Linked DNA regions of Canis lupus familiaris. The protein of the gene in region 1 purifies or fractionates together with the protein of each later gene. This does not show direct contact. Links are inferred from orthologs where the notes say so. Each region holds a gene or a part of one and is shown on either strand. Other genes may lie near its edges.

The links.
Region 2: the proteins of CSNK2B (region 1) and RPS6KA4 purify together in Homo sapiens (affinity purification with mass spectrometry; 3 studies listed by BioGRID and IntAct, with this or other methods). This does not show direct contact. The link is inferred for Canis lupus familiaris from reciprocal best matches to the Homo sapiens genes CSNK2B and RPS6KA4.
Region 3: the proteins of CSNK2B (region 1) and ZNF687 purify together in Homo sapiens (co-immunoprecipitation; 3 studies listed by BioGRID and IntAct, with this or other methods). This does not show direct contact. The link is inferred for Canis lupus familiaris from reciprocal best matches to the Homo sapiens genes CSNK2B and ZNF687.
Region 4: the proteins of CSNK2B (region 1) and KAT6A purify together in Homo sapiens (affinity purification with mass spectrometry; 3 studies listed by BioGRID and IntAct, with this or other methods). This does not show direct contact. The link is inferred for Canis lupus familiaris from reciprocal best matches to the Homo sapiens genes CSNK2B and KAT6A.

What each region holds. Positions count from the first base shown.
Region 1 is NC_049233.1:1,286,668-1,292,254, forward strand, and holds the start of CSNK2B (casein kinase II subunit beta), read left to right. Parts: upstream 1-1,450; 5' UTR 1,451-1,540; coding exon 1,541-1,589; exon of another isoform or gene 1,590-1,668; intron 1,669-1,679; exon of another isoform or gene 1,680-2,087; intron 2,088-2,187; exon of another isoform or gene 2,188-2,340; intron 2,341-2,463; exon of another isoform or gene 2,464-2,611; intron 2,612-2,932; coding exon 2,933-3,015; intron 3,016-3,750; coding exon 3,751-3,853; intron 3,854-4,411; coding exon 4,412-4,527; intron 4,528-5,160; coding exon 5,161-5,236; intron 5,237-5,383; coding exon 5,384-5,573; intron 5,574-5,587. Other genes in the region: GPANK1 (G patch domain and ankyrin repeat-containing protein 1), read right to left, coding at 1-550. UniProt on the Homo sapiens protein: Regulatory subunit of casein kinase II/CK2.
Region 2 is NC_049239.1:53,220,339-53,226,454, reverse strand, and holds part of RPS6KA4 (ribosomal protein S6 kinase alpha-4), read left to right. Parts: intron 1-197; coding exon 198-305; intron 306-434; coding exon 435-611; intron 612-699; coding exon 700-803; intron 804-903; coding exon 904-1,054; intron 1,055-3,949; coding exon 3,950-4,114; intron 4,115-6,116. UniProt on the Homo sapiens protein: Serine/threonine-protein kinase that is required for the mitogen or stress-induced phosphorylation of the transcription factors CREB1 and ATF1 and for the regulation of the transcription factor RELA, and that contributes to gene activation by histone phosphorylation and functions in the regulation of inflammatory genes.
Region 3 is NC_049238.1:61,011,224-61,016,866, forward strand, and holds part of ZNF687 (zinc finger protein 687), read left to right. Parts: intron 1-1,273; 5' UTR 1,274-1,290; coding exon 1,291-3,396; intron 3,397-3,542; coding exon 3,543-3,721; intron 3,722-4,018; coding exon 4,019-4,195; intron 4,196-4,283; coding exon 4,284-4,446; intron 4,447-4,596; coding exon 4,597-4,929; intron 4,930-5,020; coding exon 5,021-5,133; intron 5,134-5,323; coding exon 5,324-5,465; intron 5,466-5,596; coding exon 5,597-5,643. UniProt on the Homo sapiens protein: May be involved in transcriptional regulation.
Region 4 is NC_049237.1:24,336,986-24,343,101, reverse strand, and holds part of KAT6A (histone acetyltransferase KAT6A), read right to left. Parts: intron 5,120-6,116; 5' UTR 4,804-5,119; coding exon 4,204-4,803; intron 1-4,203. UniProt on the Homo sapiens protein: Histone acetyltransferase that acetylates lysine residues in histone H3 and histone H4 (in vitro). Component of the MOZ/MORF complex which has a histone H3 acetyltransferase activity. May act as a transcriptional coactivator for RUNX1 and RUNX2.

The sequences.
Region 1 (5,587 bases):
AACCCGCTTCTTCAGCCAGCTGAGCAGCATCCTTGCCACCCAGCTCACAGACACCCACCCAGGCAGCTCCACGGCCCAGGAGATAGCGCACAGCAGCCCCCTGGCCTGCTCGAGCAGCACACATCAGGGGGGTCCACCAGAAGGCATCCCGAGCATTGATATTGCCCCCCGCTCCCCCTGCCTCGTGGGGATCCAAGAGCCTTCTTAGTTCTGCTAGGTCACCCTCCTGGGCTGCCCTCAGTATCCAATGGGTCATCTTGTCCTCTGCCTCAAGGGATCTCCTTTGTCCATGTCCTGCTGAGGCTCCTACAGCAGCTTCCCCCATCATTCTTCTCTTCTTCCTCTTTCTTTTCCTGTCAGGTTCAGGCTGAGATCTCTGGGATGCAGGGATGCTGCTCTCTTCTGCAATCAGGGCCTCATAGAAAGCCCGGGCTGCAGCCCCATTCAGGGTGGGCTCCAGCTCTTCAGGCTGTGACTGCTGCTGCCCATCTTTCCAGAGGTCACTGGGGTTGGTGGCCGGGGTGAAGGTGATGAGGGAGGGCCTGGACATGGCTTTTGGGAGAACTGAGACAATGAGACTAATTAAAGGGCGTATGAGACAAGCAAGCCAATCCCTTGGTGGCTCTGCACTGACCAGAACCACCTCCACAGATCTGCTGGGATGAGGAAAAGTAGCCTTTTCCAAGTCAAAAACCCGTCTTATACTCTAAGTGACCCCACAACCTAGGACCCTACAGGGCCTAAGGACCATAGGTCATGTGGAAAAACAGGGAGCCATACAATAACAGCCCATATCCCTCGTAAAGGTTAACTTAACAAAGATTTAATGAGAATTGCCCAGAGGCCCATCCCTATCCTCACCAATAAGTAAAAACAGCTTCTCTCTCAAACTACTTGATCACCAGGTAAGACGTGCAGTTAAGAAAACAATCAGCCTAGCCCTTTAAATCTTCCTTGATCCTATGTCAGGGTAGGGTCTTTCCAAACAAAAACAGACTTTTAACCTTCTCCGGATGCAAGAAGAAGATTTGGGGGAGAAACTCCAGTCTCTGTGGAGACCCCACAGGGTCTCTGTACCACAAAAATTTTATCTAAGCAAAGGTGCTGCCAGTCCAATAGCCACACGACCCAGACACACATGTGTGACTGAAAAAAAAATCAACCACCACAAAGCAGAACTTGAGGGTGCGGGCGTGTGCGAAGCGCCAGGCTGAGCCTTCGCACGGTGGGACCCTCCAGGATGCCACGTGCCCAGGCAGCGCGAGGACAGAGGCTCTGTCGGTTGGGGTCCTACTTCTACATAACGCCCCACAATGCCCTTCGCCTCCCGGAACGTGGCCCCCCACTCCGAGCGCAGTTTTTGGACCTGCGAAACCACCGAGTTAAGGAGGGCTCTGAGAAGGCGGGAGGAAACCTGTGGAATGCCCCGAAGCCGTGAAGTGAAATAACGTCACGCCACCCCTCACCATTATTCTGAGCAGGGTTCGAAGGTCACACTTAGTGCCCGCAGCAGAAGGCCCCATTCAAGCTCTGAGAGGAGATGGAAAAGTGCAAGGGGACGAGCAGCAGAATGGCTGGCGCCACTTCAGGTTAGCGCACAGGCCGTCCCAATTCTCACACCGCTCACCTCAGCCCAGCCCACTCTTCCCACGTCCCGCAAGCAAGGAGCCCGGCCTCACCTCCCGCCTGAGGAGACTAGACCCCGGGGTGAAGCACCGGCCCGGGTGGGGCCTCCAGTGGCGGGCCTGACTCTGGCGAGAGGCTCCGCAGGCAACAAGGACCCGGTGGGGTAGTCGGGGACGAGGTCAGCACCCTGGGCTGCCGGCAAACACCTGGGGCAGAGCCTCGCTGTGTGAGGGGAGTTGCAGGAATCCAGCCCTCCAGCCCCGTTCCTTCCCCGCCCCCTCCCGGCCCCTCAGTTGCGCGACCCTACGACTCTATTTCCCATACTCCCTGGCCCAGAACGGGGTACTGCGCTTCCGCTTCCGGTGGTATCCCGCTGCTCCCCACCCCCGAGCGTCTTGTTCCTGGGCCTCGCGACGCCAGGGTCGTTCGTGGGTCATCCTGGGATTCGTAGTTCGCCTGTTCTTCGCTTCGCCAGTTTCTCTTTACCTGGGACTCCATTTCCCGGCGTTCACTGCGGCGCCCGACCCTTGGCGCTTGCGCGTTGCCCTCTCCCCACCCTCCCCAATTTCCACACACACCGCCCCCCGCCCCCCCCCCCTCGCTACTTCGCCTGCCGCGGTCGGGTCCGCGGCCTGCGCTGTAGCCGTCGCGGTTCTTTGGAAGCAGCAACTCCCCTCCCCCACCCCGGTCCCGGTCCCGGTCCCCGCCCAGCCGGTGAGTCTGAGGTCGTTGCCGCATCGAGTCTTCCGTCCTTAGGCGCGGCACATGGGGTCTCCGCGCGTTGGTGTGGGGGTGGGGAAGGAAGTGACCCGGTCCGGCACCGGGGGAGGGAGGGTTGGCCTGAGAGGCGGGGTGTGGGGACTCCTGTGAGAGGGACCCAGGGCCACCTCCAGGTCGTGAGGGGAAAGGGTCCTGGCTTTTGCTTGGAAAGGATAAACTTCGGAACCCTTGGGAAAGGTGTCGGGGACATGCGGAGACCTGCGGGGTAGGGATCTCGAGCCGAGAGCCCTGCGAGGGAGGGACTTGACGTAAAGAGGAGAGGGTGCTGGTTTTCGGGATTGTTAGGGGTGTGGGTAGGACGGGTGAGCCTAGACCTGTCGGTTTTTCAGAAGTGGTGGGACTCCAAAGAGCCTCTAGTGAATAAGAGGAATTGGAGGCAGGTGCGCCAGGGTCTAGGATCCTTTAAGAAAAGGGGGCTCCAAATTCTTCCATGGTCGGGGAGCAGAGTGTGGGGAGGAGGGAAGGTACCAGAGACAGGGTGGGGGAGCTTGGCCTTTGTTTACCCTCTTTTTTTTTTTTTTCCCAGCTGACGTGAAGATGAGCAGCTCAGAGGAGGTGTCTTGGATATCCTGGTTCTGTGGGCTCCGTGGCAATGAATTCTTTTGTGAAGTGAGTTCTCAATCTCCCAGCTATGTCCGCACAAAGTTTGGCTGTATGTTTTTCCACATATTTAGCTTCTACTTCTCTTACAGGCTGTCATAGAAACTTTTTCCTGTCAAGGAAGAGTCCCTTCAGTAACTCCCCTCACTAATTTGTGAAGTGGCAAGACTTGCCCATCCCAAGCCTGTTACTGTCCAGCGGTGTAATATTGGAAAAGTCAACTTTATTACTACTACTACTACTACTGTTATTCTTATTATTATTGCTAGGCTTGTACTAGTAGTGCTTAATTTGGGAGCCTATTAGGATTAAAATGCCGTTTATCAAAATGTTTTGTAACAGGCAAAGTTTTGTGCTAATGATATAATGGATTATAACTGCCCACAGGACCCAAGCTGTTTAGTCGCTGCTTTTCTTAGAGTTCTAGCTGCCGGTAAGGAGAGGACAAAACTGGTCTGTAGAGATGGGATCAAGAATAGGAACAGGGATTTTAAAAGGAGTGTCTCGTTAAGGAAGAGATTGTTGTAGCTGCTTATCCTTAGGAAAGAAAAGCCAGAGCTTTTATGGGAAGGCAGTGTATGTGAACTGGGGAGAGAGACTCAAGGATTTCTGCTGAGTTGGTGTGGGGAATTAGGGAAAACAGAAGCAGTTGTGTTGGAAACAAGGCACCAATTAGAGCAATGTGCCCAGATCAAAGCTGAGGATTCTGCTATGGGTTTCTTCTTGACTTCCACATCCTGACAGGTGGATGAAGACTACATCCAGGATAAATTCAATCTCACTGGACTCAATGAGCAGGTGCCTCACTATCGACAAGCTCTAGACATGATCTTGGACCTGGAGCCTGGTGAGGCATCCTCGGGGTTATCTTTGTGTGTGTGTGTGTGTGTGTGTGGTTTTTCTTTTTTCTCCCAAATTCCTGTTGATCTGCTTCTTGAATTTCTAAATTTCCTTTTGGTTCTCTGATTGCTTTTGTCCTAAGTTCTGTACTTTATTTTGCTCTCTCATCTGACTTTTGCCTGGATTTGTGACAGCCTCATTCTACACTCTGATCCTGTAACTTGGCTCTCTCCCTTAATGTTAGTTTCCTCATGGATCTCATTTCCTGCTTACCTGTCTTGCCTTGCACCTTTCAGTCTAGAGTTCCAGCTTCTATGTTGATCTTTTTCATTTATGTGTTGAGAGAGTTGGGAGGGAGAGAAGAGAGTAAAGGCTGAAGAGGTATAGAGAGAAGGCAGAGCTGCCTTGGGTGGGTGGGTGGAAGGGCCAGAGGCCCAGGTTTCTGGGTCAAATGCCCAGGTGATGGGTGGCGCAAAGATGAGTAGCCAGCAGCCCCTGGAGGTGGATGGGGCACCTAAGAAAGCTGTAAGACAAGTGATTGCAATTGGCTGCGGCCATGTTTCAGATGAAGAGCTGGAAGACAACCCCAACCAGAGCGACCTGATTGAGCAGGCAGCCGAGATGCTTTATGGATTGATCCACGCCCGCTATATCCTCACCAACCGTGGCATCGCCCAGATGGTGAGGCCTCTCTGCTCCCACTTGACTCCTCTGAGGTAGTAAGGGAAACAGGTTCTTGCAGCAAGGAGTCACGTTTTCAAACTTGTCACAGATTATAGCTAAGAAGAGGGGAAGAGGGCGCCTGGGTGGCTCAGAGGCTGAGCGTCTGCCTTCGGCTCAGGTTGTGATCCTGGGGTCCTGGGATTGAGTCCCGCATTGGGCTCCCCGCAGGGAACCTGCCTCTTCTCTTGCCTGTGTCTGTCTCTCTTTCTGTCTCTCGTGAATAAATAAAATCTTTAAGAAAAAAAAAAGGAGGGGGAAGAACCCCAGAACCTGGGCCTGGGGATTAAATCCTAATTGGGGTTGTGCTGACTGAGGTATTTTCAGGGAGGGAGACGTGACCTTGGACAGGAATTTTTTGCAGTCTGCCTCTTCCTCAGGGAACAAACAGCAAATGGCTCTGATGGTCTGTAACTTGCCTACCTGGAGAAAAGGAAGCAGGGGAGTAGGAGGGCCCATCTGGCCAGCTTAAAATGGGCATCTGGACGGAAGGAGGCAGGAGTGGAGGACAGAGCAATGTGGGTTGGACTGAGGAGGGGATTGCCTCTTCTTTTCATACCTACCCACCGGCCCCTTTCATTTTATTCACCTCAGTTGGAAAAGTACCAGCAGGGAGACTTTGGCTACTGTCCCCGTGTGTACTGTGAGAACCAGCCAATGCTTCCCATCGGTGAGTGTTGGAGAAGGGAAAGGAGGCCTCATGAAATGGCCAGTCCTCTGGGAAGGAAATGGGGCTCAGCAAGTCTGAGCCTGAGTCTGGGAGGGTGGTGGGGCAGGCTCGGGGGTGCCTGGCCTGCTGAGTCTAGCTGTCTCCCAGGCCTTTCGGACATCCCAGGTGAGGCCATGGTGAAGCTCTACTGCCCCAAGTGCATGGACGTGTACACACCCAAGTCATCGAGGCACCATCACACGGATGGCGCCTACTTCGGCACCGGTTTCCCTCACATGCTCTTCATGGTGCACCCCGAGTACCGGCCCAAGCGGCCCGCGAACCAGTTTGTGCCCAGGTGGGGAGCAGGGA
Region 2 (6,116 bases), on another chromosome or scaffold:
TGTTCCCATGGTGTCCTCCTTCCTTGCTTTTACATCTTCAATGGCTTTTTCCCATCCTGGTCCCTGTGCCCACTCCTGTACTGGAGACCCCACCTGTAGGGGGCTCCCCTTATCCTGAGTGGGGTCTTGGTGCCTGGCCACCATAGCAGGTAGGGGCGTTGGGGAGGAAGGCTCAGTGCTCCTTTTGCTCTTGCCAGCTGGGTATCATCTATCGAGATCTGAAGCTGGAGAATGTGCTGCTTGACTCCGAGGGCCACATCGTACTCACAGACTTTGGGCTTAGCAAGGAGTTCCTGACGGAAGAGGTGAGCGAAGGGCAGTCTCTCTGCCTACTGCACCCCCATTCAAGCCTTCGCCTTCCTGTCCTCCTGCTCCATGCCAGGCTCTGCATTTCTTGCGGGGCAGAGGTAAACAGGTCTAGGTCCTGCCTTCAGGAGATTCCCTGTGTTCCAACCCTCACGAGTCCAGCGAGTCCTACTCCGAGCCTTGGGGACTGCTGGGTGTCCAAATGGATCCTCTTGCCCTCCCAGAAAGAACGAACCTTCTCCTTCTGTGGCACTATCGAGTACATGGCCCCCGAAATTATCCGCAGCAAGTCGGGTCATGGCAAGGTGGGTTAGCAGGGGAGTGGGTGGGGATTGAGGGTGGGGTGAGGCGGGTGTGGCCACGGGCCCTCACTCCCTGGCTCTACCCCATCAGGCTGTGGACTGGTGGAGTCTGGGCATCCTCCTCTTCGAGCTGCTGACGGGGGCCTCGCCCTTCACCCTGGAGGGCGAGAGGAACACGCAGGCAGAGGTCTCCCGGTGAGCGGGGCTGGACAAGGATGGGGGCAGGGAGAGTGAGGGGCCTGGGCAGGGTTGGGGAGGGGGCTCGCTGCCCCTGACGCCCCCCCAATCCTCCCAGACGGATCCTGAAGTGCTCCCCTCCCTTCCCCCCCCGGATCGGGCCCGTGGCACAGGACCTGCTGCAGCGGCTACTTTGCAAGGACCCCAAGAAGCGACTGGGTGCAGGGCCCCAGGGGGCACAGGAAGTCAAGAACCACCCCTTCTTCCAGGTAAGACTCCTGACTCTTCCCCCACGTGTCTCTGCACACCCCCAGAGTGGGCTATTGCCCTGGGTTGAGGGACACTGGAGGGATGGTCTGAGACCCACTGATTTCAACTGCTTTAGGAAAACCACCAGATAGCCAGTTTTTCTCCATCTCTCATGAAACTTGGTAGATGTGATCCTGGGGGAAAGAATTTTCCCAGGTTCATTGGCTGGCAGGGGCTTGAGGATGGCTTCCTCAGTCCCCTCACTGGGCAGGTTCAGAGAAGGGGCGTGACCTCTCCAGACTGTACAGGAAATAGTGTAGAGCTGGAGACACATTGCAGGTCAGTCCCCTCTTGGCTCACACCAGTACTAAAAGTCACACTTGCCACTCTCAGCACCCACCCAGGCATTTTGTTCTTTGTCCTCAGTACAGTCTTTGTGCCTGTGATTCAGATGGACAGTTGGTCAGTCACTGGGGTTTTCTTCACCTGTGAAGAGCACGCACAGGTTAGAGTGCAGTGCAGCGTGAATTCTGCTTCTTAGTGAGACCTCACTGGCTTGGGTGCTGTGCATGGCCAGCATTGTTGCCAGCAGGATCCTGTAATGGTGAACACCTGCTGTGTGTTGGCTCTTTGCTTGCATCATTTCATGTAACCTTTAGAACCATTTTGATGATTGCTGTCTTTCCACATGAGGAAACTGAAGTTCAGGGAGGTTAAGGAATTTGCCCAAGGTCACCCAGCCAGGAAGTGATGGAGCTCAGATCCACACCCAGGTCTGGCTGATTTGAAGCCCATGTCCTTAACTCGTGTGTTGCATTTACCTGTGGGCATTCGATTTGCCAGTTGTCTGGCATCGTAACAAAAGTGCTCATTTATGGGCACTTACCGTGGGCTGGGCACCTGGTTACCCTTGCTGTGAGTGCCATCTCCTTCTATCTTCTCACTGAGTGCCTGCCTGGAAGGTCCTTCGGAGATGCTTTCTGGGACAGGAATCTCAGTCTTCATAGTGAAGTTGTCCTTCTGTGGGGGAAGTGGCCGAGCAGTGTCAGTTTCTTGAAGTGAATTCCCTGAGCCACCCTGAGCACATGCCAGGCCCGGGGTACTGGGAATGGCTTGACCAACAGTAATACCGGAAGAGGCCCTAAGGTCTTCAGGGCCTGATACTCACAAGAAGTGTTCCCTGCAGTCCCCCTTCTCTCAAGACAGCCTCTTTGGTGATAGTAGTGCAGAGGTCCTGGTGCCAGATCCTGGGCCTTCAAGCCCAGATCAGGCCTCTTGGCTGCAAGTGACAAGAAGTCCAACTCAGAATGGTGATATCCCTGGAATAAGTTTGGCTGCTAAGAATAGAGGTCGGAGTGAACAGTGGCTTAAAGATAGAGCTTTATGTATGTATGTATGTATGTATTTTCTGACATAGTAGGCTTGGCAGGCCAGGGCTGCTGTGGTGTTTTCATGAATACAAGCCCCTTTCTTCTTCTTCTTTTTTTTAAAGATTTTTTAATTTATTCATGAGGGACACACAGAGAGAGACAGAGACATAGGCAGAGCGAGAAGCAGGCTCCATGCAGGGATCCCAGTGCAGGACTTGATCCCAAGATCTGGGATCATACCCTGAGCTGAAGGCAGATGCTCAACCACTGAGCCACCCAGGAGTCTCTGGTCCCAGGGTTGCCTTGTGATCCAAAATGGCTGCTGAAGTGCTTGCCATTTAGGCTGTCATCTGGGCAGAAATCAGGAGCAAAAAGGAGGGGAAGGGCAAACTGGGCACGTGCCAGCTGTTCACCCTCCTCTTTTTTTTTTTTAAATATTTTTATTTATTCATGAGAGAGAGAGAGAGGGAGAGAGAGGCAGAGACACAGGCAGAGGGAGAAGAAAATTGCTGTCTCTGGCAGTTCTTTCTTTCTTCCTTTCTTTTTTTTTTAAAGATTTATTTATTTATTTATTTATTTATTCATTCATTCATTCATTCATTCATTCATTCATTCATGAGAGACAGAGACAGAAAGAGAGGCAGAGACACAGGCAGAGGGAGAAGCAGGCTCCATTCAGGGAGCCCAACGTGGGATTTGATCCCAGGTCTCCAGGATCAAGCCCTGGGCCGAAGGCAGGTGCTAAACCACTGAGCCACCCAGGGATACCCTCTTTCTTTTTTTTTTTTAAGATTTTATTTATTTATTCATGAGAGACACAGAGAGAGGCAGAGACCCAGGCAGAGGGAGAAACAGGTCTCCAGGATCACGCCCTGGGCTGAAGGTGGCGCTAAACCGCTGAGCTACCTGGGCTGCCCTGTTCACCCTCCTCTTGAGGTTCTTTCTCTGGATTCTCATAATTTTTGCTTGCAGGTCATCATGGGTCACACTGAAGTGCAAGGAAGTTCATAAAATAATGGTTTTTAGTTGCATACATTGCTTTCTGTAATAATATCGGGGCTATGGTACTAAGGAAGATGGGGAGTATGGAAGTTGGGGAGGCCACAAACAGGTTCTGCCACCATAGATGAAACATAAAAAAGCATGTTTTAGCTCCCGTAAGTGAAAAGTCCAAGGAAAAGTGGTCTGACCTCAGGCAAGACTGCATCCAGGTGCTGGATTTATGTTAAGAATTTCTTTCTTTGTCTCTTGGTTTTTTTGCAGGAGGTCCCTAGTGGTTCCAGGCCCATGCCCTCTCAGATTTAAGTCCAGTTGGAGGAAGAGATTTGTTTTGCATGCCAGTGCTATCAAAAGTGTGGTAGAAATAAGGATTCTCTTATCAGAGGGAGAAAAACAAGCTGGGAAGGCCGGAAAACAGCTTTCCACTCAAATGCCATATAGACCCTTGCCTCACTGAGGAGCTGCCCAGTGAATGTGGCCCCCTGTGGCAGATGGGGGTTTTCATTTCCTACATTTCACTCCCAGTCTCTTATTCCATCTCTCCAGGGTCTGGATTGGGCCGCTCTGGCTGCCAGGAAAGTTCCAGCCCCATTCCGACCACAGATCCGCTCGGAGCTGGATGTAGGCAACTTTGCAGAGGAATTTACTCGGCTGGAGCCTGTATACTCACCCCCTGGCAGCCCCCCACCTGGGGACCCCCGCATCTTCCAGGTGAGTGAGAGCTCACAGAACCACAGGTGCCATGGAGACAGGATACTGCTGCCAGCCTTGGCCCAGGCTGACTCAGCAGGACTCAGCATCTCCCCTGTCCACTGGTGGGTACCTGGAGTTGTCTGGTGTACAGACTACCATGGCAGGCTATGTCTTTGAATTTCATAGTTTATCTTTAAATTTCATGTTAATTTCTCTTCCACTCCATATATCTTTATTGTTATATAAAGATATTGTTGTAACTATTCAGTTGCTTCAGTGGACAACTAGAAAGAGATGCCATGTTTATACTGTGGCTTTGTATGTCCCTTGACAAACCATTTCACATTTGTGGAAGCACAGGCCCCCTGCACTCAGTTTTAGAAGCTTAGGCCTGTTGCACAAGGCCAGACTCCTTTCCTTGGCATTCAAGGCTCTGCACAATGTGGTCCTTGCTCAGTGCCCCAGCTTCAGCGCTCACCATTATCCCACTTGGTGCTCTAGCACCTACAAACTGCTCAGAGGTTCCCAAACGCACGTCCGTGCCTTTGCACGTGCAATTCCCTCCACCTGGAGTACCTTCCCCACAGTTGCCCACCTGGCACGCTCCCCCTCACCTTTCAAGCCTCTTTGTGCAACGCTGCTCCTCTGTGAATTCTTCCCACTGCTCTGGTTCTGGGTTGCCCTTTCCTTGTGCACCAGTCCCCTGTAGATAGCACTTCCTTCTAAGCACTGTGTCTGGTTGTATCCTAACTGCGTTACTGAGACTGGTCTGGAAACTCCCAGAAAGTAGGGACTGTGTTTAATTTCTCTGTCCCTTTACCCAGTATGGCCCATAGGATCTGGCCTGTAGGATCTGGCCCATAAATATGAAATAAGAACAGGCCAATATCAAATGTAGATGGGTCCATTCTCTCTGAGGCTCTCCCAATGATGGCTGTGCTGGAACAACCCTCTACCCATTATCTCGCAGTTCTTTTTTTTTTTTTTTTTTTTTAAAGATTTGTTTATTTGCCGGGGTGGGCGGGGGGGGGGGTAGGAGCAGAGGCAGAAGGAGAGAGTCTCAAGCAGACTCCACGCTGAGTGCAGAGACTGATGGGGTGCTTGATCCTATGACCCTGAGATTATGGCCTGAGCCAAAACCAAAAAGTCTGATGCTTTACTGACTATGCCACCCAGGTACCCCCATTGTCTTGCAGTTCTGAAAAAGTTCTTTCTTGTGAATCAGTGGTTACTGTCATTCATTCATTTACTTTTTATTTAATTATTTAATTATTTTTTAAAAAAGATTTATTTTTAGAGAGACAGAGAGTGCAGGAGCCTAGGGGTGCATGGGGAGAGGGAGAGGGAGAGAGAATCTCCAGCAGACTCCCCACTGAGTGTGGAGCCTGCTGCGGGCCTTAATCCCACCACCCCAAGATCATGACCTGAACTGAAACCAAGAGTTGGACTCCCAACTGACTGAGTCACCCAGGCACCCCTCATTCATTCATTTAATGATTCAACAATATGTACTGAGTGCCTGCGGTGTGCCATTGATCTGGCCCTGGATCCTGGGGCCGGATCAATGAACCCAAATCCAAGCGTGGAGTCTTCATTCTTATGCAGTGGGTGCTGTGTTTTTAGGAGAAAACAACTTGTTAAACTTGCCCTTAGAATCCCTTGAATCGCCCCATTGTATTTCCTCAGTGCCCCCCTCCCCCTTGCAGAGGAGACCAATGTTTGGTTTGAGATGAAGGCATAAAGACCTTTTGTATTCAGTGGGTGGATTTGAATTCTCATAAACTAAGTGTGTGTGATGCCAGGCTGTGGCCCTTTCATGCATTGAATCCATCATTTTCTGGGTCACTACGTTGTGCTAGATGATGCCCTTGGCACTCGGGGTGGGGGGCAGTTTACTGTGATGAGAACTGTGGAGGCACAGACTGGTGGGGAAGCATGAACCCAAGTGATCACAGAACAAGGTAGAATGAAATGTCCACATACTTGTGTGCACCAGGATACCAAAGCTACATCCTCCGCC
Region 3 (5,643 bases), on another chromosome or scaffold:
TCTTGTGGGGTGTGTGTGTGTGTGTGTGTGCGCACACGCGCACTGGGACAGGTTGGGGTTGGGTAAGACTTCTTGAACTGGTGTTGCCAAGGGAAAATGAAAAGGGTGAGGAGTGTGAATTAGGAGCTCAGAGCAGGAATAACACGGGTGAGGGGGCTTGGCTTTTCCCCTTTGTGGCAGCCAGGCTTGGCTAAGTTACCCTGGAGCTTTGGCCCTGAGAGAGCAAGATGGGGAGGGAGAGAGGAGGGGCTGGCCCCGGGAGGGCCATGGCAGGGCAGAGGCACTCTGGGGAAGGTAGGTGTGCTAGCAGCAGGTGTTTGTGACAGGAGAGGCCTAGGCTGGGGCCCTTGTGACCAGGTTGCTGGCACGGTTTTCCCCTCTTCTCTTTATCTCTTTCTATTCCTGTGTCTTATTCTTTCCATCTTGGTCTCTTCTCTTGGGTGATTTCCGAGTCCACTTCTCCTTGTTAACCAAGCTAGATCCCCAGGTGCCAGTGATGACCCCAGGTCCCCAGACTTGACCCCTGACTCTTGTCCCTGACCTCAGTCGTAGATTCCCAGTGCTTACTCCTTCCCAGCTTGTTTGTCCCAGCTGTAATAATAAATCCTGCTCCGGGTTTTGACTCGCAGGGTTATGATTTGTATCAGGCTCCGAATAACCCTGTGGTGTATGGATTACTTGCCTCACCTTTCAAAACTAAGGCAGTGGACATGAGGCCATTGATAAAGCTGCAACTAGAATCATTTCTTCCATCTTGGCTTAAGTCATTGTCCCTTTGAACACATGGCTTTCAGATCTCTCCAGACCCCCAGAAGATCCATGAAGATTTATGAATGGATCCCATGCTGCCATGAATGAGCCCTTACACCCAGAGCATGGTGTATATCTTCCTCCTTAATAATGGTATTGATTAATTGATTGGTTCTGTGCTGGGCTCAGGAGGGGCTGAGGTGATTTCAATCAAGATGTTCACTGAACTTCCTCCGTCTCTGTTACCCTTGTTTCTCTACTGTGTCTCTGAGAAGTTTCTTTTCTTCTGCTTTCTCTGAATCTCGGTGTCTTCCCTGGAATGTGCACATAACCTACCTTTCAATTTTAGGGTTTGGCAAACCAGGTGCCCCCACCAGCTCTAGGATTTGTGATGTGGTAAAAGTGTACCCAAGGAGATTGCGCATGGTCCCAAGAGGATAAATATGGAGATCCTGAGGGAGGAGGGCCAGGGTTCCTGCCCTCAGAGGGCTCAATTTCTTACTCTTTTTTCTGTTTTCATCAGGTCTGGGACCTGCTGCCATGGGGGATATGAAGACTCCTGATTTCGATGATCTCCTTGCTGCCTTTGACATCCCTGACATCGATGCCAATGAAGCCATCCACTCTGGGCCAGAAGAAAACGAAGGGCCTGGAGGCTCAGGAAAGCCGGATCCTAGTATAGGAGGTGACTCTGGAGAAGCACCGGCAGCAGCTGCCAGGGACAGCCCTGAGGTGCCAGCCCAGGCCTCTGATCACGGCCTGCCACCGCCAGACATCTCGGCAGTCAGTGTCATCGTCAAGAACACTGTGTGTCCTGAGCAGCCTGAGTCCCCAGCTGGGATTTCAGGAGGAGATGGGCCCCGGGCTGGGGGGGTGACTAAGGAAGGGCCTGTGGGGCCTCGTCTGATGCAAAATGGTTTTGGGGGCCCTGAGTCATCCCTTCCAAGTACACCCCACTCTCCAGCTCCTCTCAGTGGGGGTACCTGGAAAGAAAAAGCTATGGAAGGCAAAGCTACTTTGGACCTCTTTGCTCATTTTGGGCCTGAGCCAGGGGAGCACCCTGATCCCCTCCCTCCCCCAGCACCTTCCCCACCTCGGGAAGGGGCCATGACCCCACCTCCTTTCCCCTCTCCCTTTGAGCTGTCCAGGGAGAATGGCCCAGCCTTGCTGCCACCTGGTTCTCCCCCAGTACGGGGGACCTTGAAGCAAGACAGCTGCAGCCCCCTTCATCCTCAGGGCCTGGCCGGGCTAGGCTCTAGCTTGAGCCCTGAGGCCACGGGTATTCCTGCCAGCGCCTCCCCTCCCCAGGTTGCTGGGTTGCCCTTCTTCAAGCAGTCTCCAGGGCATCAGAGCCCTCCTGCCTCCCCCAAAGTGCCCTGTTGTCAGCCCCTGAAGGAAGAAGAGGAGGAGGGGCCGGTGGACAAGCCTTCCCCAAAAAGTCCCCAGAGCCCCTCTAGTGGAGCTGAGGCTGCAGATGAGGACAGCAATGACTCCCCTGCTTCTTCCAGCTCCTCAAGGCCTCTCAAGGTGCGGATCAAGACCATTAAAACATCCTGCGGAAATATCACAAGGACTGTAACCCGGGTCCCCTCAGACCCTGATCCTCCTGCCCCCTTGGCTGAGGGGACCCTCCTGGCTGAGGCTGGCCTCCTAAAGCTATCCCCTGCAACCCCGACCCCCGAGGGTCCAAAGGTGGTGAGCGTCCAGCTGGGTGACGGCACGAGGCTGAAGGGCACCGTGCTGCCTGTGGCCACCATCCAGAATGCAAGCACTGCTATGCTGATGGCAGCCAGTGTGGCCCGCAAAGCTGTGGTTCTGCCAGGGGGCACTGCCACCAGCCCTAAGACTATGGCTAAGAATGTGCTAGGTCTGGTGCCCCAGGCCCTGCCCAAGGCGGAGGGGCGGCCAGGGCTGGGGACTGGGGGGCAGAAGGTGAACGGTGCCTCAGTGGTGATGGTGCAGCCTTCCAAGCCGGCCACCGGGCCAGGTGCAGGGGGTGGCACGGTGATCTCGCGGACCCAGTCCAGCCTGGTGGAGGCCTTCAACAAGATCCTCAATAGCAAGAACCTGCTGCCTGCCTACCGGCCCAACCTGAGTCCCCCCGCCGAGGCCGGGCTGGCCCTGCCTCCCACGGGCTACCGCTGCCTCGAGTGCGGGGACGCCTTCTCACTGGAGAAGAGCCTGGCGCGGCACTATGACCGCCGGAGCATGCGCATTGAGGTCACCTGCAACCACTGCGCCCGCCGCCTGGTCTTTTTCAACAAATGCAGTCTGCTGCTGCATGCCCGAGAGCACAAGGACAAAGGGCTCGTCATGCAGTGCTCACACCTGGTCATGAGGCCCGTCGCCCTGGACCAGATGGTGGGGCAGCCAGACATCACGCCCCTGCTGGCTGTCCCACCTGCCTTCGGACCTCCAGCCTTGCCTGCCCTGGGCAAGGGTGACGCGGCTGTCGCTGGCGCTATTACTGCTGTCGCCGCCGAAGCCCCTGTGCTACCACTGTCATCTGAGCCGCCTGCTGCCCCTGCCACCTCGTCTTACACATGCTTTCGCTGCCTAGAGTGCAAGGAGCAGTGCCGGGACAAGGCAGGCATGGCCGCCCACTTCCAGCAGCTTGGGCCCCCGGCCCCTGGGGCCAACAGCACTGTGAGTTGCCTGTCCCAGCTCTCCCCGGGGCTGGAGCCCAACGCTCTGGGAGTCAGATCTGGGAAGATGTTGGGGGCTCGGTCAGGGGAGGTCATGGGGTCGGGCCTCTCCTTGCTGACTTACCTTGTCTCCACTCCTGTTGACAGGTATGCCCAACCTGCCCCATGATGCTTCCCAATCGCTGCAGCTTCAGTGCCCACCAGCGCATGCATAAGAACCGGCCTCCCCACGTCTGCCCTGAGTGTGGGGGCAACTTCCTACAGGCCAATTTCCAGACCCATCTCCGGGAGGCCTGTCTACATTTGTCTCGCCGTGTAGGATACAGGTGCCTCCTGCCTCTCCTCCCTGGAGCCTTGTGACTGTTTCCCCACTGCCACCTCCTCCCCCCACCCCCTGGCACTTTATGGCCTCGTGTGTCCCAGCACCAGGCTTTGAGCTGGCCTGTCAGGGAGAGCCCCATCTCCTGCTGAACCCCTCAGCCTCAGATTGGTCTGCTCTTGCCCTGCTCCCGTGGAGAGGGGAGAGAGCTCCGGTTCGGCCTCCATAGGCCTCCGGCTAGGAGCAGGGCCCGGGGGACAGGCTGGAGACACCCTGCCTCACCTCAGCGCCCCCTGCCCCCCAGGTGCCCCAGCTGTGCGGTGGTGTTCGGGGGCGTGAACTCCATCAAGTCCCACATCCAGACGTCGCACTGCGAGGTTTTCCACAAGTGCCCCATCTGCCCCATGGCCTTCAAGTCTGCGCCCAGCGCCCATGCCCACCTCTACACCCAGCACCCCAGCTTCCACACGCAGCAGGCCAAGTGAGACCTGGGAGGGAGCAGGGTGGGCTGGAACGGGGTCGGGGTCCTGATGGGCAGGGTGTCTGCACTGTCCTCTCCGCCCACACAGGATGATCTACAAGTGCGCCATGTGTGACACGGTCTTCACTCACAAACCCCTCCTCTCCTCACACTTCGACCAACACCTGCTGCCCCAACGTGTCAGCGTCTTTAAGTGCCCATCTTGTCCTCTGCTTTTTGCCCAAAAAAGGACCATGCTGGAACACCTCAAGGTATAGGAGACAAGGGACAGAGGCGGGGTGCTCGACTGTGGGGGGTTTGGGGAATAGAACCCTCAGGAAGTGCTGGTGGGGAAGCCGCAAGGCCTCTGGCAGAGCCAGGCCCTCCCCCACAATGGCTGCCCCCTTGTCTCCCTCTCACAGAACACCCATCAGGCTGGGCGCCCGGGGGAGGACAGTGCTGGGAAAGGGGCGGCGGGTGCCCTTACAAGCCCCAAGGCTGAGCCCGAGGAGTTGGCTGTGTCTCGGGGAGGAGCAGCTGCCCCTACTGAGGAATCCTCTTCATCCTCGGAAGAGGAAGAACTTCCCAGCTCTCCTGAGCCTCCTCGCCCAACCAAACGGCCCCGGCGGGAACTAGGGAACAAAGGCATCAAGGGGGGCGGTGGGGGCCCTGGAGGCTGGACCTGTGGCCTTTGTCACTCCTGGTTTCCTGAACGGGACGAGTATGTGGCTCACATGAAGAAGGAGCATGGCAAGGTGAGCAGGGCTCCCTCGGGATCGGTCTGTGGCCATGGGGAGTGGGGTCTTGGAGCCGCGCTCTGAGGCTCCCTACGCTCTGCTCTCCCAGTCAGTGAAAAAGTTTCCCTGTCGCCTGTGCGAGCGCTCCTTCTGTTCCGCCCCCAGCCTGAGGCGCCACGTCAGGGTCAATCATGAGGGTATCAAGCGAGTTTACCCATGCAGGTAACCCTTGCTCCCTCATGCCCACATCCCCTTCCTCTTTCTGACCAGCAAGTGACCTGCCCACCCCATACCCCCAGCCCCACTAAGTACTTTCTGACCTGTGTCTCGTTTGAGTAGACTAGAGGTCGAGGCCTCCCTCTGCTCTGGCCACGGACCCCTGGCACCCACCCTCCCCACTTTCCCCCTCTAGGTACTGCACAGAGGGAAAACGCACCTTCAGCAGCCGCCTGATCCTGGAGAAACACGTCCAGGTCCGGCATGGCCTGCCACTTGGGGCCCAGTCCCCTGGCCGGGGTAGTACCCTGGCTCGGGGCCCTGGTGCCAGAGCCCAGGTAGGCTGAGGCCCAGTCTGCTGTGTTGAGAAACCATAGGGTTCTAGTCCCTGGCCTCAGGAATCTAGGAGGGGGTGCTAGGGTCAGTTTGGGGTGATGAGGAGGCTTAGTTTCCTCCCTCTCTTCTCCAGGGGCCAGGACGGAAACGCCGCCAGTCCTCTGACTCTTGTAGTGAGGA
Region 4 (6,116 bases), on another chromosome or scaffold:
TGGGAAAGCAACATTTTGAATTCCCATATGAAGGCACTCTATCAACAGCCAGGTAACAAGTCCCAGACTGCAAATCAGAAAACTTCAGTAAGATAAAATGAAAATTAATAAGCACAGAAATTATCAAGAAAAAAATATCATGCAGACAAAAAACTTTTTTTATGGACCTCAGGGATACAAAACTAGATTCTTCATAATCTCTGGTTTCTGATACATTCTTATCACTGGTTCAAAGCCAGTTTTAAAATCCAGTCTAATGATAGAGAAAAAAAGGGATACAAAATGTGAAGGGGTGGCGGTAGGGGGAAATGTGTCCTTTCATAATTAGACAATGTACTATGAAGTTGACACCAAGAACATTAACAATTGGGTACTTGACTGCAGTGACATTTTATGTAACAACTCCCAAGAGGCAATAGGTATAGCTGTTACAAAGACCAGAGCCAGAGTGCCCAAGTTCAAATCCTAGCTTTGCCACTAAATATCTCTGTGACTTGGAGAAATTACTAAATCTCTTTTATGCCTCAGTTTCTTCACCTGTATGATAACAGTACCTACTTCACTGAGATGTTTGAGAATTAAATAAATTAATATGATTAGCTTTAAAGTAATGCCTGGCCCACAGTAAACAGAAGTTAAACAAATTCACCATAAACTACCACAACCCTAAAGCTACTCAGAAATTTCCCTTACAACATGGATAAAACTTTTATTTTTTTTTAAAAGATTTTATTTATTCATGATAGACACAGAGAGTGAAAGAGAGAGAGGCAGAGGCACAGGCAGAGGGAGAAGCAGGCTCCATGCCAGAAGCCCGACGCGGAACTCGATCTCGGGACTCCAGGACTGCGCCCTGGGCCAAAGGCAGGTGTCAAACCGCTGAGCCACCAGGGATACCCCCTGGATAAAACTTTTAAATCATAGTATCCCATGGATTTTCCTCGCTATTTATCAATGTAAAAACACTTAAGTTCAAACATATTCACAAAAACTCTTAAAAATACAGTATTTCTATGCAGCTGATCCCAACAAAAGTAGCAAAAACCATTCAGCATCATAAGATGCTGAAAATCTTAGTTCTACAGTTCCTTCCAAAGATTGCTATCCCAAAGAAATAAAAGCTAAAGTTGATCTAGAAAAAAATAAAGAGGAACTTGAAATAATGCCATTTCAGTTCCAAGCCATTTCAGTTCTAAGCAGAGTGCCTGGCCTACAGTAGATGCTCAATAACCATTTGCTGAATTAATCAAGGCGTAAAAGTGAAACTACTTCTGGCCTGCACTTTTCCTTTCTCCATCACTCTCAAATACACTCTAGATGAGAATATCTAGGTTCATTACAACAAACCAATTTTAAAAAGAGGAAAGAAAGATAAAATGCAATATAAAGAGCAAACATATAATCTGTTCAGAGAAGGAATAATTAATTTCTCACTGTATTATGATCTTGAGTGTGAGCTCTTCCTATCTTTGGGAGAAGTCACCCAGGAAATTCACTACTGAAAATAAGACTTTAAAAATATATAACAGATTTCATCAACTCTAATATCATAGATATCATAAAATTAGTTTTCAATTCAATTCAGACCAGTATATATACATACAAGTCTATTCAATGAAACTCAATTCTCCTAAATGTATACTCCAAATTTTATTACTTTGGTTAACAACACTATTTATTACAATTATGTAGCCAAAAAGATATTTCTAACCAAAGTAAATCAGCAAATCTCTACTGGATTAAGCTTCTTTTTTAATGTCGAGGTCTCAGCTCAGCTGCAAAGTAAGAATTGTTAAATTAGATGGTTCTTAACATCCCTTTCAAAAGTAAAGTCCTAAGGAGATAGGACTCAGATTTGTCCCATAGTGTACTATATCAGCTACCTTTCAGAAATATGCACAAATTCCACAATAGCCAAACTATGAAAAGAGCCCAAATATCCATCGACAGATGAATGGATAAAGATGTGGTATGTGTATATATACGTGTGTGTGTATATATATATGTGTATATACTACTCACCCATCAAAAAATGAAATCTTGCCATTTGCAACGACATGGATGGAACTAGAGGATATTATGCTAAGTGAAATAAAGTAAGTCAATCAGAGAAAGACAATTATCATATGATCTCACTCATATGTGGAATTTAAGAAAATCACAGGGGAAGAGAGGAAAAAATAAAACAAGATGAAAATCAGAGAGGGAGATAAGAGACTCTTAATCATAGGAAATAAACTGAGGGTCACTGGAGGGGACCGGAGAGGATGAGGTTAACTAGGTGATGGACATTAGGGAGGGCATGTGGTGTAATGAGCACTGGGTATTATACAACACGGATGGGGCAGCCCAGGTGGCTCAGCAATTTAGTGCCACCTTCAGCCCAGCGCCTGATCCTGAAGACCCGGGATCCTGGAGTCCCAACATCAGGCTCCCTCTGCATGGAGCCTGCTTCTCCCTCTGCCTGTGTCTCTGCCTCTCTTTCTCTCTGTGTGTCTCATGAAATAAATAAATAAAATCTTAAATGAATCACTGACCTCTACCTCTGAAATCGATAATATATTAATCAACTGAATTTAGATAAAAATTTTAAAAAGAAAGGAAAAAATATGGACAATTGACATTTTATGTATGGCTAATATTTTTAAAAATTGAAATATCTAATTCAAGCAAGGGAAACTATAATAAAAGCAAGCACTCTGGTTTTTGTTTGTTTTTTTGCACTCTGGTGTTCTAACAAGAATTTATAATACTCAATTCACAGATATAACACTGAATTCATTGTAAACTATAAATTATTTCCTGTTTCCATGTAGTTAACCTGTGGATCATTTTGTAACAATTTCAGGAATCAATCATTATACTTCTTTTAACTTCAGCTATATGGGATCAAGAAACAGTTATTACAGTAAGTTCTACAGCACTGAACTACAGAATAAAGCATTTTAGTTACTTGTCTACCTTGAATTTTTAATACCACACTTTTTAATAAATACTCAAATGATAATCATTCTATCAGAATCCTTTCAAAGGTAGTAACAGTAAGATGATGTTTCTATTTCAAAGCTCACTGGGAAAACTGAACCCTAAAACAGATCTCTAAAAACCTCCTCAAAGAAAAATACTGTTAATTTTCAACTGCTCTTTAGACAAAAATCTATAGGTGGGTTATTAACTGCAATAAATTTAGACTTGACTCTCAAACATTTTTAAATACATTCAATATTAACTTCACAATCTTCTCATCCTGGGAGTAGCTTCTACCTATATCTTAGGCAAAATAAAGATTGTTTTACTACTGTATACTAAAGTGTGCATCAGTACTACAACTCTCCCCAGAACTACAATTCAGAACACCCGAAATAATTTTACAGCTCAAGACAGTAGGTCAATGTAAAAAACTACAAACAAAATTCTCCCCATCCTCCAATATCTAGTCAAGGGCCAAAATTAGCTGTTTCTTAGTGTATTTTCAACTGCACAAAATAATGGCATAAAACAGCACAGTAAGATACACCACTGTGTATCAAAACTCCAAACTGCACAGAACTTTAGGAATATAGGATACTTTATTCCTATGTAGTTACACCTGTCATAAACAATAACACTTAGGACTTCATCCTATGCAAAGAACACATGAATGTTAGAATACAACAGAAATAAGTACTGATAAATTTGCTTAGCTACTACTATGGGTCAAGAGAACCAGTCTCACTCCTACCTAATGATGATGTGCAACAAAAGAAAAAGGGGTTTAAAAACAGAGGTTCTTAGAGTCACTTGCTAATTTCAAATCCAAGCTTCCAATTTTTAGCAGTGTTCATCAACTTCCAGCAGTAAAATATTATAAGAACTTACAACAGCCTTAAAGTAGAATGCTACTTTTAAATTCTGAATAGGTTCTTTTAGGTATATCAATACCTATTTCAATACACTTTGAAACTCAGGCATAAAAAAAAAAAGAAAGAAAGAAAAAAGAAAGAAAAGAAAGAAAGAAACTCAGGCATCAAATATTCCAAAATATAAGGACAACTGGTAGCTACCGAATTCTAACAACTCAACAATAAAAAAACAGAGGTGATCATTCCAAAAGTCCCCAAACACAAAACCTGAATATAAGTTCTAAATAATCTCCTAGAAATGTGACTTTGAAGCATACTATATCATCAGTTCTATGAACACTGATGGGTATGTCACTCTTACCTTATCCTTTTCATGTGGAAGGAGTGACACTGGAGGTAAAGAGGAAAGAGACTCACAACTCTCTTTCCCATCCACACTGGTTGCTTTAGTGTTGAGCCGATAAAGAGGTCCATCTTTAAGGAGTCTGCCATGGCCAACGGCTCGTTTAATAGCCAATCGTAACTGCTGGTGAAAGCCAGAGGCAGCACTGCCTCCAAATAATGCAGACACATCCTTCTGACCTTTCAAAAAACGTTCAATGCTTTTCAAAGTTGAGCCACTGGACTCCGCCAAGCCCTCAACCGCCCGCTTGATCAGTTTATTCCAATCTACATTTTGTTTATTATCCAATTTTCCATGGTTTCGGGGTTTAGGAAGTGCTATTCGCCCAGGATTATCAGGATCTTTATAGGAATTGAGTCCTTTATTGGAGACTTTTAAAATTGTTCCGTCTTTAACACTCAACTCCAATTGTTCTAAAACAGTTTTACGATCCAAGCCATGGGATGAAGACACTGCATTGCATATCCTTTCTTCTGAAGGACGCTGTTTTTGCTTCTTCACTTTTTTGATGGCCTCCAAAATCCACTCAGTATATAGCGGGTTAGCGAGTTTTACCATGGTGAAGGATTCTGTATATCCATAGAGTCGTTATCCCTTATCCTGATGCTGAGTAAGTTTTACACCATGGAAAACAACATTCTCGGAGGCTGGGAACCAGTTAACCATAGCATACAAGTTTTCTGGCCTGAGTCTTTTCTCCTTCACAAAACAGAGTGCCTCCTCACTTTTACTTTAGAAACCAAAACAACCTGTTATTTGAAATGTCTTTGAACTTCCCAATAAACTTCTCAATAGCACCACACATGGGTCTCTTCATCTAGTTGTAAGAACTCACGAACATCTCATTCCCAGCAGGAAAACGTGCATCTTATGCCTGAAAAACAATTAAAACAAGGTCAATTTTCTATCAAATCCCACATCCTAGTCTTTAAAAGTAACCAAATCAAGTGTTACTGAGAACCTGTAGAGTTTTAACAAGTTTTCATCAATATTCCAAAAACAGTTATGTATGTAAACCATTGGGGCAAAAAAGAAAAAAAAATAATTAGGATACAAGATGAGATATACTATGAAGGACCTTATGCTACAACTACGCAGAGGGGTGCTGACTATTCTGTACTCCACAATCTCTGCTCACCAGTCTATGAACTGAAAGTCTTCCTTGACATCGTTCCCCAAGAACCTATTCAGCACTTCAACAAGTATCTGGATTAGTAGAAAGAATCCTGCAATGAAAGTAAGAGTGAACCTTTCAAAATTCCAGACATTCGGACTGCATAAAAATAGTCAATAATGCAACAAAAAAAAAAAGGGGGGGGGGAGAAAATTTTAACTATTTCACATATTAAAAGAAACAAAAACACAATTTACAATGAAGTTCGTATTTTAAGTACATTACTGTAATCATTCTAAACGGAAACAAAAACAACACTGAAAATCATCAAGTGAGGGGATCCCTGGATGGCTCAGTGGTGTAGTGCCTGCCTTTGGCCCACGGCATGATCCTGAAGACCCTGGATGGAGTCCCACATCAGGCTCCCTGCATGGAGCCTGCTTCTCTCTCTGCCTATGTCTCTGCCTCTCATGAATAAATAAATAAAATCTTAAAAAAAAAATCATCAAGTGAGAAAAGTGCTTAAAGAATTTTAAAATTATCTAAATTCATTCAAATTTTAAGAATTACACGCTGATAGCTTCTCCTAAATGCTAACAATTAATACAAACTAAAATACTAATATTCAATAGACTGGAGGGAGTAACAACTGTCAAAATGTTGATAGCCAAGCTACCCAGAATCACAGGGTTCAAATGCATACACTATATATCAAATGTACGTTACTGCCTGCTGGCAAGTCTAAAAAGAAATCTCA